2 linked regions of the Daphnia pulex genome follow. The protein of the gene in region 1 interacts with the protein of each later gene in a pairwise test. Links are inferred from orthologs where the notes say so. Each region holds a gene or a part of one and is shown on either strand. Other genes may lie near its edges.

Evidence for each region.
Region 2: the proteins of exocyst complex component 7-like (region 1) and pre-mRNA-processing factor 19-like interact in a two-hybrid assay, tested with the Homo sapiens proteins (2 studies listed by BioGRID and IntAct, with this or other methods). The link is inferred for Daphnia pulex from reciprocal best matches to the Homo sapiens genes EXOC7 and PRPF19.

Annotation. Positions count from the first base shown.
Region 1 is NC_060020.1:3,977,932-3,985,384, reverse strand, and holds exocyst complex component 7-like, read left to right. Parts: upstream 1-2,359; 5' UTR 2,360-2,461; coding exon 2,462-2,491; intron 2,492-2,627; exon of another isoform or gene 2,628-2,650; intron 2,651-2,706; coding exon 2,707-2,872; intron 2,873-2,968; coding exon 2,969-3,162; intron 3,163-3,226; coding exon 3,227-3,344; intron 3,345-3,405; coding exon 3,406-3,503; intron 3,504-3,572; coding exon 3,573-3,713; intron 3,714-3,778; coding exon 3,779-3,941; intron 3,942-4,004; coding exon 4,005-4,192; intron 4,193-4,254; coding exon 4,255-4,434; intron 4,435-4,499; coding exon 4,500-4,743; intron 4,744-4,814; coding exon 4,815-4,960; intron 4,961-5,016; coding exon 5,017-5,087; intron 5,088-5,165; coding exon 5,166-5,277; intron 5,278-5,351; coding exon 5,352-5,588; 3' UTR 5,589-5,674; downstream 5,675-7,453. Other genes in the region: palmitoyl-protein thioesterase 1-like, read right to left, coding at 267-392, 452-525, 606-702, 770-875, 938-1,096, 1,166-1,293, 1,352-1,461, 1,527-1,623; uncharacterized protein LOC124192964, read right to left, coding at 6,076-6,123, 6,192-7,453. UniProt on the Homo sapiens protein: Component of the exocyst complex involved in the docking of exocytic vesicles with fusion sites on the plasma membrane.
Region 2 is NC_060022.1:3,390,958-3,398,250, forward strand, and holds pre-mRNA-processing factor 19-like, read left to right. Parts: upstream 1-4,492; 5' UTR 4,493-4,605; coding exon 4,606-4,624; intron 4,625-4,719; coding exon 4,720-4,869; intron 4,870-4,931; coding exon 4,932-5,073; intron 5,074-5,133; coding exon 5,134-5,275; intron 5,276-5,339; coding exon 5,340-5,525; intron 5,526-5,581; coding exon 5,582-5,767; intron 5,768-5,846; coding exon 5,847-6,183; intron 6,184-6,250; coding exon 6,251-6,600; 3' UTR 6,601-6,738; downstream 6,739-7,293. Other genes in the region: uncharacterized protein LOC124195731, read right to left, coding at 1-338, 393-550; heterogeneous nuclear ribonucleoprotein 27C-like, read right to left, coding at 1,157-1,338, 1,401-1,470, 1,545-1,780, 1,938-2,127, 2,235-2,342, 2,724-2,806, 3,382-3,583, 3,787-3,994 and 1 more. UniProt on the Homo sapiens protein: Ubiquitin-protein ligase which is a core component of several complexes mainly involved pre-mRNA splicing and DNA repair. Required for pre-mRNA splicing as component of the spliceosome.

The sequences.
Region 1 (7,453 bases):
GACCGTCTTTTGTTCGCCGGGACTTGTGACTATTATAATAACTTTTTATAAATAAGAAGTTTCTCGCACCGGGGCGCACGTATTAACTAGCTGGCAAACGCTACCACTTTTTGACGAGGATGTTGTATTGATCTACCAATAGTTTTAGAATCGTTCAGCCGCCGATATCGGGATGAACGATTATTGTAGTTTATGTATAACATGACGTATCAGACGGAAACGGTTATAAGAAAAAATTATCACACATTTTTAACAATTTCAATCATTTATCGCAAGAAATTATCAATGATTTCGTTTTTAAACCATGCTTGGCTAAATTGAATATGGTCACCTTCCACTTGTAGGAAATGGAGTTTTCCTTCATCATCCATTGCACGTAAACCAAGGCGATCCTAAGAGATTTTTTTTTAAATGTAATTAATAGAAAATTGTAATGTAAGACACGATGTACTTCAAGGTAAAGTTGCGAATCTTGAAGAGTGTAAGTTGAGTTCAAATCATTCTCCTTATAAAAACCGAACCATTCTGCACGGATATATTAAAGGTGAAGAGTAACACACTGTTAAAAATGTCGCGATTCAATTGAGCTTTAAAGCGGCGCGTACCTGTTTCAATTGGTTGGACAACTGTATCTTTAGTAAACTTAACCATGACGAAGTTTTTCAGTTGCTTAAGGTTATTTTTGTATGTATCATTTACAGACTATTAAAAGAAATAGCAGATAGTTTCGATTTCAGTTAAAAATAGGACCAATGAAAAATTCTCATACCCTTTCGTTATTGATATCCGCAAGAAATACACTTGCTTTTTTGTATGCCTTTTCATCTAGTGGATCATGCCAATATTCAGCAGGAGTAACAAAATTTTGAATCCATCTTGATAAAATTAGTTCTGTTAAAATTATTTTTGTAAATGTATAGGTCTCAAGTAGACAAACTTTTTGTAAGCTCCATGATTAAGTAGCGAGCGAACATAGTCACAAAATTTGACATCATCTCCTAGACAACGGGGTAACCCATATACACCTTGGTGTTGAGAGCCTAAAGTGACTAGATTTACCATCGGAGGATCAGGGCAACGTTGAGCTACAGCTCTCCTATAATAAGCAGAAAATTAAAATGATTCAAAGATAATCTTAACTATTCAACAATAAAGATATAATTACAAGAACTGCCCCCCTTGAGATACCCCTAATCCATGATATCCTAATGCTAATTTAGGGTCATTTTTGATCAGATCACACACAAATTCAACTTGATCGTTTGCATTCTTGATGTATGCATTTTCAAAATCCTACATAATATTGGAATTGTTGGTGTAAATTTTTAATTGAGCTATACTGAATTAATACCTCACGAATGGTCTTGCCAATCTTCAGCGAAATTACATAGACCTCAGGAATTTGTTGTTGTATAAATTTTTGTAGGCCCCCAATACTCAATGGATTGCAGCAAACATCACCTACATACCCATTTCAAAATTTATCATGAAATTGTGAATGAAGTAGAAACCTTAAATGTGATTACCTAATCCGTGCCAGATCACAATTGGTAGTATTGATAAAACCATTTGACAATTTATTAATAAGAGGAAAACACACATTAAGGGAAGTGTGTACTTCATTCTTGATTCTTTACCCAAGGAGGACTACTCATACACTTACGGGGTCAAGCTAATAAGTTGGCTTGGAATTTAGACAAAGCAGTTACGTAATTGAATTACAACCATGCACGAGTTTCTCACGTTGACATTTGACATTGACATTTGTGTATTTGACATTTCTTGGTGCTGGGCTGGCTTCAAAATTTATTCTTTTTTCAAGGTTAGTGTTGACTATTTTCAACAGGTGGCCAGGTTGGTTCATAATCGATCTCAATAGAGGGCTATTCAAGCGATCTTAAAAAAAAAGAATGTTGCAGGAAAAACAACAAAATCGTAAAAAGGTTATTAAAATAATTTAAAGTCGCTTCAAAAAAACGTAGAACTGCGGGTCATCGAAAGGGTGACGGCAAAATAGTTCACGAGTCACCACCGTTTTGGAGTTTTCCCATTTTTCTACGACACAACTTCCGTGAAAACAAGAACCCATTTAGAACTTAGTAAAATCAGATTTCCATTTTACCTCAGATTACCTTTTACCAAAACAAACTGGTATATCTGAGCGCTTTTTTTCTTTATGAGCCGTATTTCGTCATTAGCCACATTTTAGTGGGGCTCGGATTGCTCCCATGTGCTTGCGATTATAATGGACTCAACGTTGAATATTTTCTTCCATAATAGACGGCGACGTCTTTTTTAGATTTTTTTCTTTGTCCAACTTCAACTTGACGCACCAATCGAGGAATTTACTTTTTTTTGTTAATTACCTATTTACCTACCGTCTACCCTACCGAAATAAAAGACCGTTTTTTTCTAGCCGGTAGATGGCGAGAAACGAAACAACTGACAGAAATTCAGCAAAATGTCAGATTTTAATCATAAACATGAAAAGGTTACTTTTTTGTTTTATATAGGCCTACTTAGTTCTTCTTTATATCATTTGATTTTATTTGTTTTAAATACTAATTTTAAAGGTTTGAATATTAAACTCAATTTCTTGTTACAAAATTCAAATTTCTTTGCTGTGACTGGATACTCACATATATGACTGGTTATATTGACATATTGTATCAAACAAATAATGGGTTTAATTAATGATTGGTAAAGGTGCTGACAGGACTAGTCTTTCTTCAAGATGCTGCTTCTAGAAGTTCTCAGCTTACTAATGGAATGGTCAATATTTTGACTTCATTTGATGAAAGGCTTGCGAGACTTGAAAAGACCATTTTACCAGTCTACAATGAGACAAAAAATTTGCAACAGAAACAAGAAAGTAAATTATTAATGAGATCTCATATAATATCAATATTTCTTGTATTTCTAAATTTACAAAATCTAAATTTCTTTTTAACTTTCTTCGTGTTTATAGACATTGATAAAACATTAGCCTCTTTGGATCATGTCATTAGCTATTACAGTGTCAGCAAGGAAGTTGAGCCTGTCATAAAAGAGAGCCCTTCAAGTCAGGGTCTAGAAATTTTTCTCCAATCCCTCGGTCGATTGCAAGAAGCTATGCATTTCTTTGAGAGAAATAATCCACAGAGTGTGGAGTTAGAAAATGTTGTAAGTTTCATTTTTATTTACAATCACCATACCTTACAAACTTAAAAAACAACTTTTGTATTAGATGAGCCTATTTGAAACTGGCAAAGATAATATTATCAGCGAATTTAAAGAACACCTAGCAAAACATAGTCAAACCATTCCTGCTACAGCACTTTTGGAAGCTCTAGCAAATGATGAAGGTGAACCCCATTTATCTATAACTACCTGAAAATTCAATGTAATGTTCCATTTTCATTCCAGAGGAGATAAGTATAAATCACTTCTCTGCAGATGTGAAAGACAATTTGATGCAAATAGCTGATTGGCTTGTAACTCACAATGAAGATGACTTCATGAATGTAACTTGTAATCATCAATCATTAATCCACGACATATTAAATAAACTTTGTCACTGATTTACTTTCCAGGTTTACGCTCGGTTTCGCGCAAATACTGTGCAGAAAACCCTTCTTGGCCTTCGTGATCATTTGAGAAGTTCATCTACTGGGGTATCGAGTCACCAAGGCGTGAGTCCCGTAGCTGCCATGTCGGGAACGGCTACATTGCTGGTAATCTAATATTTATTGTGACTACTATTAGGCAATATATAATGAACTTCTTTTATAATTTTCAGGCAAAATCAGGTGTCAAAGCCAGTTATGACACTCCAAGTAGAAAGACATCTAAGAAACTACAGCAAATGCTTGAGCGCAAGGCCAACCAAATGCTTTTGAAAGCTTCTCAAACGTTGGAAAGCTCTACAGGACTGGCTTTGGGCCCCAGGAGAAGCGCTGCGGGTGAGAAGACGAAATTAAATTTATTTTACTTTTTCCCAATTATCATTATTGTTTCTTCTTCAGACAGTATAAAAGAAGATGCTGTCGAAGAACACGAAATCGAATCGTTCTTAACCGAATTCACGGCACTTTTGCGACTACTGCAGAGTGAACTGAGACTTATGTTGGGTATTGTCCCTTTGCCGCATCAAAAAGCTGTTCTGTCTATCATTCTCAGAGACGCATTGGAAATGATCTGTCACGATGCCGAGGTTGGAAATATTCTTGATTCAATTTCATCGGTTAGTCATTCTTGTACTTTACTAATTTTTAGAGCTTAAGCGGCCGAGCGCGCCGAAGTGTTTCTCGTCAAGAGTTCGGTCCCGTTTTGCTTCTTTTTCCTGCCTTACGCCATTTAGTGTGTTTTAAAGGCGACTGTGATAAATTGCTGGAAGGATGCGATTCTTCTGTTCGCACACGATTTTACGCAATGGTTAATAATCTCCATACAACCGTAAGCTAATAACTCACCATAATTTAGATTCGTTTTTATCACTGTGTTATTTTGTGATTGATTAGTGCGGCAAGGCCCTTGAAGACTTTGCAGAATCTGTGCGTTCTGAATCTGCAGCTCCATTGCCTAGAGATGGCACGGTCTATGAAATGACGAGCAATGTCGTTCTTTTTCTCGGCCAGTTGACTGATTTGTCTGACACAGTCGGTCCGCTTCTCGCCCAAGATCAAAGTTATTCCAACGCATTGGTACACACTCAACCCTGGCCGAAACCTCAGAGAAACAAAGCTTTACTAGGACTTTATATCAGTAATTCATTTTTCTTGTTCAGGTTTAACTTAAAATCTGGTTTGATTAACAAATTACCCTTTTTTTTTTAGAAAAAGTGTTGGTTCAACTAAATTTAACTTTAGTTACTAAAAGCGATGCGTACAGCGATTCTTCTTTGCGCTATATTTTTCGATTAAATAACAGCCACTATTTGTTAAGCGCACTACAGCGTAGTGGCCTACTAGACCTGTTGAAGGTAAAGCACAAAATTGTAGTCAAAGTAAATGTAATCACATATTTTGGTGTTTTTAGGTTGTGGAACCAGAATGCGAGCCGATTTACCGAGAAATGATCAACGAACAGAAGAGGCTTTATTCTCAAAGGTATTGATACTTTGTTCCTTTCCTTTGAATTTTTTGTTGAACTCACCGTTACTATTCAATTAATTAAATAACCTACAGTTGGAACAAGGTCTTAGCCCCAATATGGAATTCGGAAGATGTTCCAGCATCTGTACTTCTTTCCGGCAGGTTACGGGAAAAGGATAAAGCTTTAATTAAAGAAAAGTTCTCGGTAGGTCTTCAAAAGTTAAAATATAAGCTTTACATGTGTTAAAATGTTGTTTTTTGATCCGATAAATCTTTTAGACCCTTAACAAGGAGTTTGAAGAATTGTCCAGAGAGCAACGAGGTTATTCAGTGCCAGACGTTGAGCTTCGCGAGAGTCTGAAGCGTGATAACAAAGAGTACATCCTGCCGAAGTATCAGGCTTTCTATGACAAGTACAGCAACGCGCAGTTCAGCAAACACAGTGAAAAATACATCAAGTACTCACCGGCCCAAATTTCATCGGTAATCGATACATTTTTCGACGTTGCTGCATGATGATCAAAACGATCAAGGTTAACAAAAAATCATCCTGATTGTATTTTCAACACCAAATTTAAATTTATTAAAAAATGAAATTACAATAGCGACAAGTCTGAATTCTATTAAAACAAAGAGGAAATTATATCCTTCAGCGATGACTAAACAGCATGTACACACTTGTACAGGCACATTCCATTCCATTTCACAAATAAACAAAACCTGCTAAACGTTCAACTTTGACGTGTAGAACAGGAGACACATGAGAAAAATAAAACGGCTCTACCTTGTTTTGTGCATAATACTGATGACAGCTGTTGTCTTAGAAACGTAGCACCGCTAGATTAAACTGAGCCACTCGAAGGACGTTTAAACGCATCAAACAAATTCTAGAAAACAGATAGGACGCAACACTTGTCATCAGAAAATTCAATTTTGTCACTCCTTCACACCCGAGGACTAGGATACTATTTAGGGTCTTGGTTGGTAAGCCTTCGCGTTCTCGTCAAGCCTGTTTTGAGCACGTTTTACCATGTTCATCCCAATGCGCAACCTACAATCGTTATTTAAAAAAACAAAACGTTACAAAACAAGTATACAATAACTGAATTGCGATATTACCTGACAGTCACGGGAACAGTAGAATGTGGTTTGACACCCGCTGCACTTTTGCTGAGCTTCTTGTCCACACTTCAGGCAAGTGTAAAGCGGGTGTTGCTGTGGCTGCGGAACATCTCGTGAGAGTCGACGAATGGCAGGCTGTCTAGCAATGTCCGACTGCTGGCCAGGAAAATGTCTTTGCGCTTGAGCATTAATTGGCGGCGAAGACATGGGCATATGGCGTTGCTGCTGCATGATTTGGTGTTGTGCGTTTTGCAAGGAATGGGCTTGTGAATGTGGAACTTGCTGTTGTTGCATTCCGCTCAAGTGATGTGATACTGTCGGCTGATTTGTCAGCTGTTGCGAGGAAGATTGTTGTCTTATTCGCTGCTGCTGAACGGGTGCTTGTGCTTGTTGTAGGTGCGATCCAAGAATGGACATATTTTGCTGGCGCGAGGGACTGTCTCCTGCAATAGGACCAGCCAAACGATTGTGAAGTTGCTGAGATGAGCCCAATGACTGTTGCGAACCATTAGGGTGCATGTACTGGTGTTGTAGTGTCGCCTGTTGCTGCTGTCGATAAGGCCCAGCTTGGTAATTGACGGGTGCTTGCATCCGATTAGACTGCAGGTTTTGAACGTATGCTTGGTGTGCAGTTTGCTGTGCAGTTTGTTGTGGCCAAGTAGAATGTGGTGGTGGAACTGTTTGCTGAACCGCAGGCATGCGATGTCTACCTGTGTACTGTGCGTTAATTATAGGTACAACAACAGCAGTATTTTGCACTACAGTTGACTGATATGCAACCATTCCGTTATTCACGGAGTTGCCAGTCCATCCTTGACGTGGCATACCGGGATGTCCCTCCATCGCAACAGTGTTTGGGCTGTGTTGTGTAGGACCAGGCGTCTGCTGATTAACCTGACGATTTTGATTGGTGATCATTGTATTCAGCGCACCGATGGGCGAATGATCGCCTTGCGTAACAGTGTTAACTGGAGTCCGGTCGGCTGATGAACGTTCGACTGAATTTTGATTACTAGCTTGCATTTGGTTTGCCAATGTTGGAGATCGGAATGCTTCTGGAGTAGCTAGATGGATCGTAAAAGTCGGCATCGATGATTTCCCCGATGAGGGAGAAAATTCTACGCGAGACGGAAGTATAGCTGACTGATCTTTATACTTTGTCCCAATGTCAATAGCGGATCGCAGGTTGTTTTCTAACATTTGCTTCATATAAGTTGAATCCACGGCTGCCATTCCGTACCAATTAGCTTTTTGAGCTT
Region 2 (7,293 bases), on another chromosome or scaffold:
CAGAACTGCTTACACTTTGCTGATTTATTTCTTGATTTTGTTTCTTCTGCAAGAGCTCAGAGTCATGAGCAAAGACACAGTTTGACCCAAATCTGCACCTCCCTTTCCTATAGTTCCAGCAAATTTTTCTCCCATTGATTTCTTTGATGTCTTCAAGTTTGGGGGTGAATTTTACATGCTTTTCAAGTGTGCCCTTTTCTGCTTCCTCTGCTTCTTTGTATGGATTTGCAAACACAGATTTTCCTGACACTGAAGTCTCTGAACTGCGAAAAGGGTTTTTCAAGTTCTTTAAATGTTCATCTTGCAACGAAAAGTTATCTGCTTGATCGTTTTCTTCACTAAAAAATGAAATATTTAGAAATTTAAAAAATTCATAGAGAAATTTGTCATACCCACTACTACTATCATCAAAAACCTGAAAAAAATTATTTTTGATTTTTGATTTCACAGGATCTTCAGCAAGTTCTGTTTGTGTTGATTCTTTTGTTTCCGTTCCAGAACTTTCCGAGCTATCCGATCCATAACCCACCAACAAATTTAACGAAGTCATCTAATTTTTTATCGTAGAAGCTTAACGAGTGCTTAATTTAAACTAAAGAAATGGTGAATTATTTAAAATTTTAGTAGATCTCTTAACTGACTTGCAGAACAATGTGTAGTTGTGTTGTGTACTGTACATTGTTGCAGACGACATTACCCAAAACACAAGAGAAGTCATAGGGTTACCCAGCCCTCTGTTGAAAAAGTTTAGAGACAGGTTTTTTTTTTCAAAGATAAGTGATCAGTAGTTTATTAAATATCAAAGTGTAAATCGTGATTGTTATTAGTATAGATCAGTACCAGCAAAATTGCAATTCAATCAACGTGTAATCGGAAGTTTGAAAGTGCATACTATCTCGGATTTTTTTAAAGAAACTTGCACACAAGGATTTAAGAACTAATTAACTACAGTTTTATTCGAACGCATCGAAAAGTCATGAATAGCTCAGGTTCAGAACGTAATGTTAGGGCGGGATTCAAAGAGAAACGTCGAAACGATACAGACAAGAACACACCGAATGCACGACAGATTGGCCATCATTTAAATGTTTGTCCAGCCATAGGGCTAAGCAATGTGCAACTTAAAACACACAAAAAAAAAACACTGATGATTTTCTCAAACGCCTCCTCGGCGATATGGGTGGTATTGAGATTGCGACGGCTGGTGGTGGTGACCACCTCCTCGTTGAGGACCCGGTCCTCCAGGGCCAGCAGCTCCGGCTCCTGCTCCAGGAACACCAAGACCATTACCGGCAGGTGCAACGCCAGGTGGTGGGACTCTTTCTGGATTTCCATAGCCTAAAAAAATAACCATAATTATCATAAAGATCCTTTTTTGTAAAAACTAAATTAACAATCACCTTGTCCACCTCCATATCCTTGAGCGTTAGCTTCTTGGGCGTATCCTCCTCTGTATCCTTGGTTAACGTCCTTGGATAATAATAAAAAAAAAAACGATTGAATTCCTAAAAAAATGTAACATTTGACTCGCACAATTAACTTACTGTTCCATAGCCATTAGTTCCGTATCCAGCACCGTACTGAGCAGGTTCAGCTTTTACTCCAGGAACTCCAGGTCCAGTAGGGGCAGCTGCGCCCGGAGGACCACCATTAGTTGGGTTAGGACCTCTACCATACATATCGCCGTTGGGACCTGGGCCACCAGGTCCACCTCCTTGTGGGCCCGGTCCTCCCCAATTCCAGTTGTTGTATCCACCTTGTTGAGGTCCACCTTGAGGGCCTATATAGTTTAACACGTTCTTATTTTCATTCATCTACGCGGTATCAAAGACAATGTGATTCATGGAAAAACTTCTATTTAGAAAATCTCAGCCAATTTATCTTCGAAATATATCCTGGAGAAGAAACAATCACTTTATCAGCATACACTTTATTACCATAGCCATAATTAGCTCCTGGTCCTCCTCCATATCCTCCCCACTGCCCTTGTGGGCCCCATCCTTGATATCCACCTTGGGGTCCATATCCATATCCACCTTGATTGGCAGGTCCACCCCATCCTTGATAACCACCACCCATGGGAGGGCCCATCGGTCCACCCATTGGGCCACCCATAGGACCCATACCCTAAATGGCAAAAACGCAAAAAAAAAAAAAGAAAAAAGAAAAACACAAATCGATTATTTAAAATCTGTTTGTAACTTAAGTTTGAGCAAGAAAGCTTAGTGACTTACCCCATGCATTCCCATTCCCGGACCTTCCCATCCACCATTGTGTCCTCCACGTCTCATTCCACCAGATGATCCTCGAGTATCACGGGGCTCTGCTTTCTTGATTTCAACCTATGGTCCAAAAGAAATCTTTATTCCTTGTTTGATGACTAATGTTAATTCTAACATTAGAACGAATTATTATGCATTCATATTTTTTTAAAACAATAAAGAGAGCTCACCACCGACCTTAACTTGTTACATTATTGATAAGATTATCTATTGTTTTCTATGAGTTAATTACAATTACTATTTAGAAGACCAATAGATTGGTACAAAGACCAGCTTAACTCGACGGTTAGATACATTTTCTAAATAAACTTTAAAAATATATAAGATCAAGTGTCGGCGAGGTTTAAACAATGGTGAGCCCTGATTATTCATACTTCCGATTGCGTTTTTCACAAAGAGTAAGGGAGAGGGACATTGGTTGTTGTTTTGATGATAGAATACCTGCTTTCCATTGATTGAAACATAGTGTTCACCAGTGCAGCGATCCACCGACTCCTCCGATTCAAAGGTCAAAAAGCCAAAGCCTGTCCCAAGGTTTTCCAAATTGCTTATTACACTTTTTTTATACCACTTTTCTTTACATCTTTCTTTGATCTCATTAATAATCATTAGAAGAAATCTTGGGACAGGCCTGACTAAATTATTTTTCAACCATAACTTTTGACTGTAGATCTGATGAGATTGATACCGGATTCTAATACTTGAAGAGAAATAAATCTAATACATCGTTAAAAACTAGAGTTGTGATTATGAAAGAAATATTGACTCAACCCAATGGGTATGCCAATATTTAGTCAGATGTAAAACTTGTAAATCCACCCTCCCAAGTTCCTTAATGGCATATTATCTACTGTAATTCGCGGAAACTCTTTCACATGAGCAGTAGAAGTAAACGTGGATAGGAACTTAGCCATTTGCTTACCTATAGGAATAAAATAACCACACTATTAAAGTTAGCAAAGTTATCAAAAAAGGAATCCATCGAATCTTCGGAATATAACCACTTACACTTGCGTCATACGTTATGTAAGGACGTTCATAGTTTATTTACGCTGTTTTAATTAACTTTAATACCCACTAATTGAGGAAAGTGACTCACCTCGAGATTTTTTCTTTTCTTGGTCGTACATGATAACGACTTCAGAGACCTTTCCGTACTGCGAGAAGAAGTTACGAAGATCTGTTTCTGTCAAGTTTGATGGAAGCCCACCTAAAAATACTTTGTAACCATTTCCTGTACCCATACTCCGGCGAGGAGCGCGTACCATTTCGGCACGTGGATTACAAGGTTTGGGGTCAATCTGCATAAACATAAAAATATGAGATCATAAAAAACAACCAAAAATGTAGAAAGAAATCAAATATATATCTCAAGTTGAGATATAAACTTCAATTCCTTCCACTTCTATGTAGCAATACCGCGAAAGGAGATAAAATTATGTTAAACATTCTATCACCGCTCAGGTAGTGCAAATAAGAGTATGAAGAAAATATAAAAACTTACTGTGCGATTATCGAGTATATGGGGTGTGTTTTGTAGTACTAAACCAACATTGTTAGGATCAGCAAATGTAATGAACCCAAACCCTCTCGATCTACCAGTTTCTGGGTTCTTCATTACCACACAGTCAACAACTTCACCATACTGACTGAAATATCGAAGCAAATTATCGCGCGTCGTTTCCCAGCTTAAACCTCCGATGAACATTTTACTAAAAAAACAAGATTCGTACCAAAAAATAGTAAATGGACGCAAATCATGAAAAGCTTAGTGTACGGCGTCATGGATTTACATTCTCCCATGAACTTCACATGTCATATTATAAATGGAAAAAATTTCTTACCCTTGTTCATTCGAATTATCACCACCTTCTTTTCCAGGGAATTTTTGTTGAGAGGCCATTGTTCAGTTTAAATTGAATATAACAGTAAACGAATCTTTCAAATTTTCGAGGAGTGTTCGCACTGCGCTTGGGTTGGCTTCTTCAGTTGAGAAATGGGGGAAATGGCTGGCCCGGCATTTCAGTCAGTTTGCACCGTTGCCTGGACACTTTTTCTAGTTGAAAACTTGAAACTTAAATTATGAAATTATTACTTATAAAAAACTATGCTGTTTCTTTTACACATTCCAATAAAAAAATTTCTGAGTCTTAAAAAAATGATTGGATTTTGAAAAGAAAAGAAAACTCGCACTGAGGAATGAAGCGCTTTATTGAATAGTGTAGTCTAGCAACTGTTTAGCCCTAAGCGAAGCGAACATATGCATCTTGGCTTGTCGCACATTTTTGTGAAAAGTATATAAAAAAAGGTTACACGCTTCATCATGGCCCTCTGTTGTTCTCGTAATATTACATTTTCATTATAAATATCAATTTAAAACCAATCCATTCTTCTGAGAAATTTGATATTTAATGTCTTATATCTCTTGCTTATATAGTGTCGAACGAAGTTCCCGAACATCCTGTGGTCTCACCGGTGTCAGGATCTGTGTTTGAACGTCGGCTGATTGAAAAGTACATTGCTGATAACGGGGTAGATCCCATCAATGGGAAAGAAATAACTGTAGATCAACTTATTGAAATCAAAAGTAAGAAATTTTTTATCAAAGTTCCACAATGAATTTACATGTAATTGAAATTTTGTTTCTAGCCCCCCCAATTGTTAAGCCTAAAGTGCCATCTGCAACAAGCATTCCCGCCGTGCTTAAGTCTTTACAAGATGAATGGGATGCTGTCATGTTAAATTCCTTTACTTTGAGGCAACAATTACAAACTGCTCGACAAGAATTGAGGTATTGACCAACTTAATTACACATGGAATTATTGTGCAAACATTCTCTTTCTATTTGTAGTCATGCTCTCTACCAACATGATGCTGCTTGTCGTGTTATTGCACGCCTCCACAAGGAAGTGTCTACAGCACGGGAAGCACTTGCAACTCTTAAGCCCCAGACTGGCTATGCTGCTGTATCTACACCATCTGTTGCTGCCTCAGTAAGAAAGCATTATGATATTTATTTGTATGTTATTTATGATAAATTTACTGATTTGATGTAAGGCTGAAGCGGGTGGTGTGGCAGCACAACCGATCGAGGCAGCTGGATTAACTCCGGAAATCATATCACAATTACAAGATAAAGCCACTGTTCTTACTCAAGAACGAAAACGTAGAGGCAAAACCATGCCCGAAGGCTTAGCTACAGCAGAAGCTTTGAAGGGATATAAAACTTTGGCATCTCATCCGGTAATGACATATAATTTTGAAATGTTATCCCATCTTCATGGATTGATTACATATAGGCTTTGCACAGTGCAAGTATGCCCGGAATTTTGACCATGGACGTTCACGCCGCCGATACTTCTCATATTTTGACTGGAGGTAACGATCGATGCGCTACAGTTTTTAACAAGGACACTGAGCAGGTTGTTGCTGTTCTCAAGGGACATACAAAAAAAGTTACCAAGGTGCTTTATCATCCAGAAGAGGTAATTTCATGTTTTCTTTTAATTTTCTCTTGATTTACTTTGTTATATGATACTAATATACCCCTTGAATCTGTTATAGGAAGTCGCGATAACAGCATCTCCTGATGCGACGATTCGTGTTTGGAATATAACCGGCTCCTCACAATCTGCCATCATCCGTGCTCATGATGGCCCTGTCACAGGCTTGTCGCTCCACGCAACCGGAGAATATGTTTTGTCGACGTCACTGGATCAACACTGGGCATTTTCAGACATTCGCGTTGGGCGGTTGTTGACAAAGGTTGCCGACACAGACGGAAATCCGCTTACGACAGCCCAGTTCCATCCAGATGGTCTCATTTTCGGCACTGGAACACAAGATTCACAGATCAAAATTTGGGATTTAAAAGAACAATCTAACGTGGCCAACTTTCCAGGTTTGGCTCTTTTAAAATAATCTTGTGATAAACATTAGCTTTACTATTACCATTTTTACAATTACAGGTCATTCCGGTCCTATTGCGGCTTTGTCATTTTCAGAAAATGGTTACTATTTGGCTACAGCGGCAGAAGACTCTTGCGTCAAATTGTGGGATTTACGGAAATTGAAGAATTTTAAAACAATTCAGCTCGACGAAGGATACGAAGTTAAGGACTTGTGCTTCGATCAAAGCGGCACCTACCTTGCTGTGGCTGGTACCGACGTGCGTGTTTATCTCTGCAAGCAATGGGAAACTCTTAAGACTTTTAACGACCATACAGCATTGGCTATGGGAGTCCGTTTCGGCAACCATGCGCAGTCGATAGCGTCTGTGAGTATGGATCGTACGCTGAAAATTTATGGCATCGAGTGATTCACTGTATTCAATGTTGAGAGGGGATTTTTAAATGAACATTTTTCGTCTTATCCTTTTTTTTGCTGTAAGGTGTGCAAACCGCATCGAACTCTCGCCCTCACAAAAATACACGCGTTTCATTTTTCCCATCAAAAACAATTCTACGAGTGTATATCGATAGTTAAGTTTCCCGCGTTACTATCGATACATTAAATAAAACAAAAAGCTTCGAAATTTTGTCACTAGTGGCGTGGCAGTTCGCTTGGCATTTTCGCTTTCTTGAAGCATATCCCAATGGCGGCTTAGGCAATCGATGCATCGGCCGCTCCTTCGTACAGGGGTTTATGTATTTGGCCTAAAATGCCGGTCGACTCTTGTAAACAAGGAATAGTGAGATCATACTACGTTAATTTCAAATTTCATAGTTCAAATTCTTCATATTGGATTGCTATCCTGAATCAAGATTTTTCCAGATAAAGTACGAGGTAAGTCGCCCAAAAACAGTTCCTTCAACCGTCGCTTCTATCAAGTTGCATTGTTGCATCTTTTGTAATTGGAAGCGTGGTTTTGTTGAATGAATAAAATTTTCTGCCCTTCAAAAAATTTGTCTTCTTTAATTTGACGCATTTTTTTTTCTCCCTAAAGAGTTGACACAACTACTTTAATTAGCTTACACATTAATCAGAACTGTTTTATGATGATTCATTTATT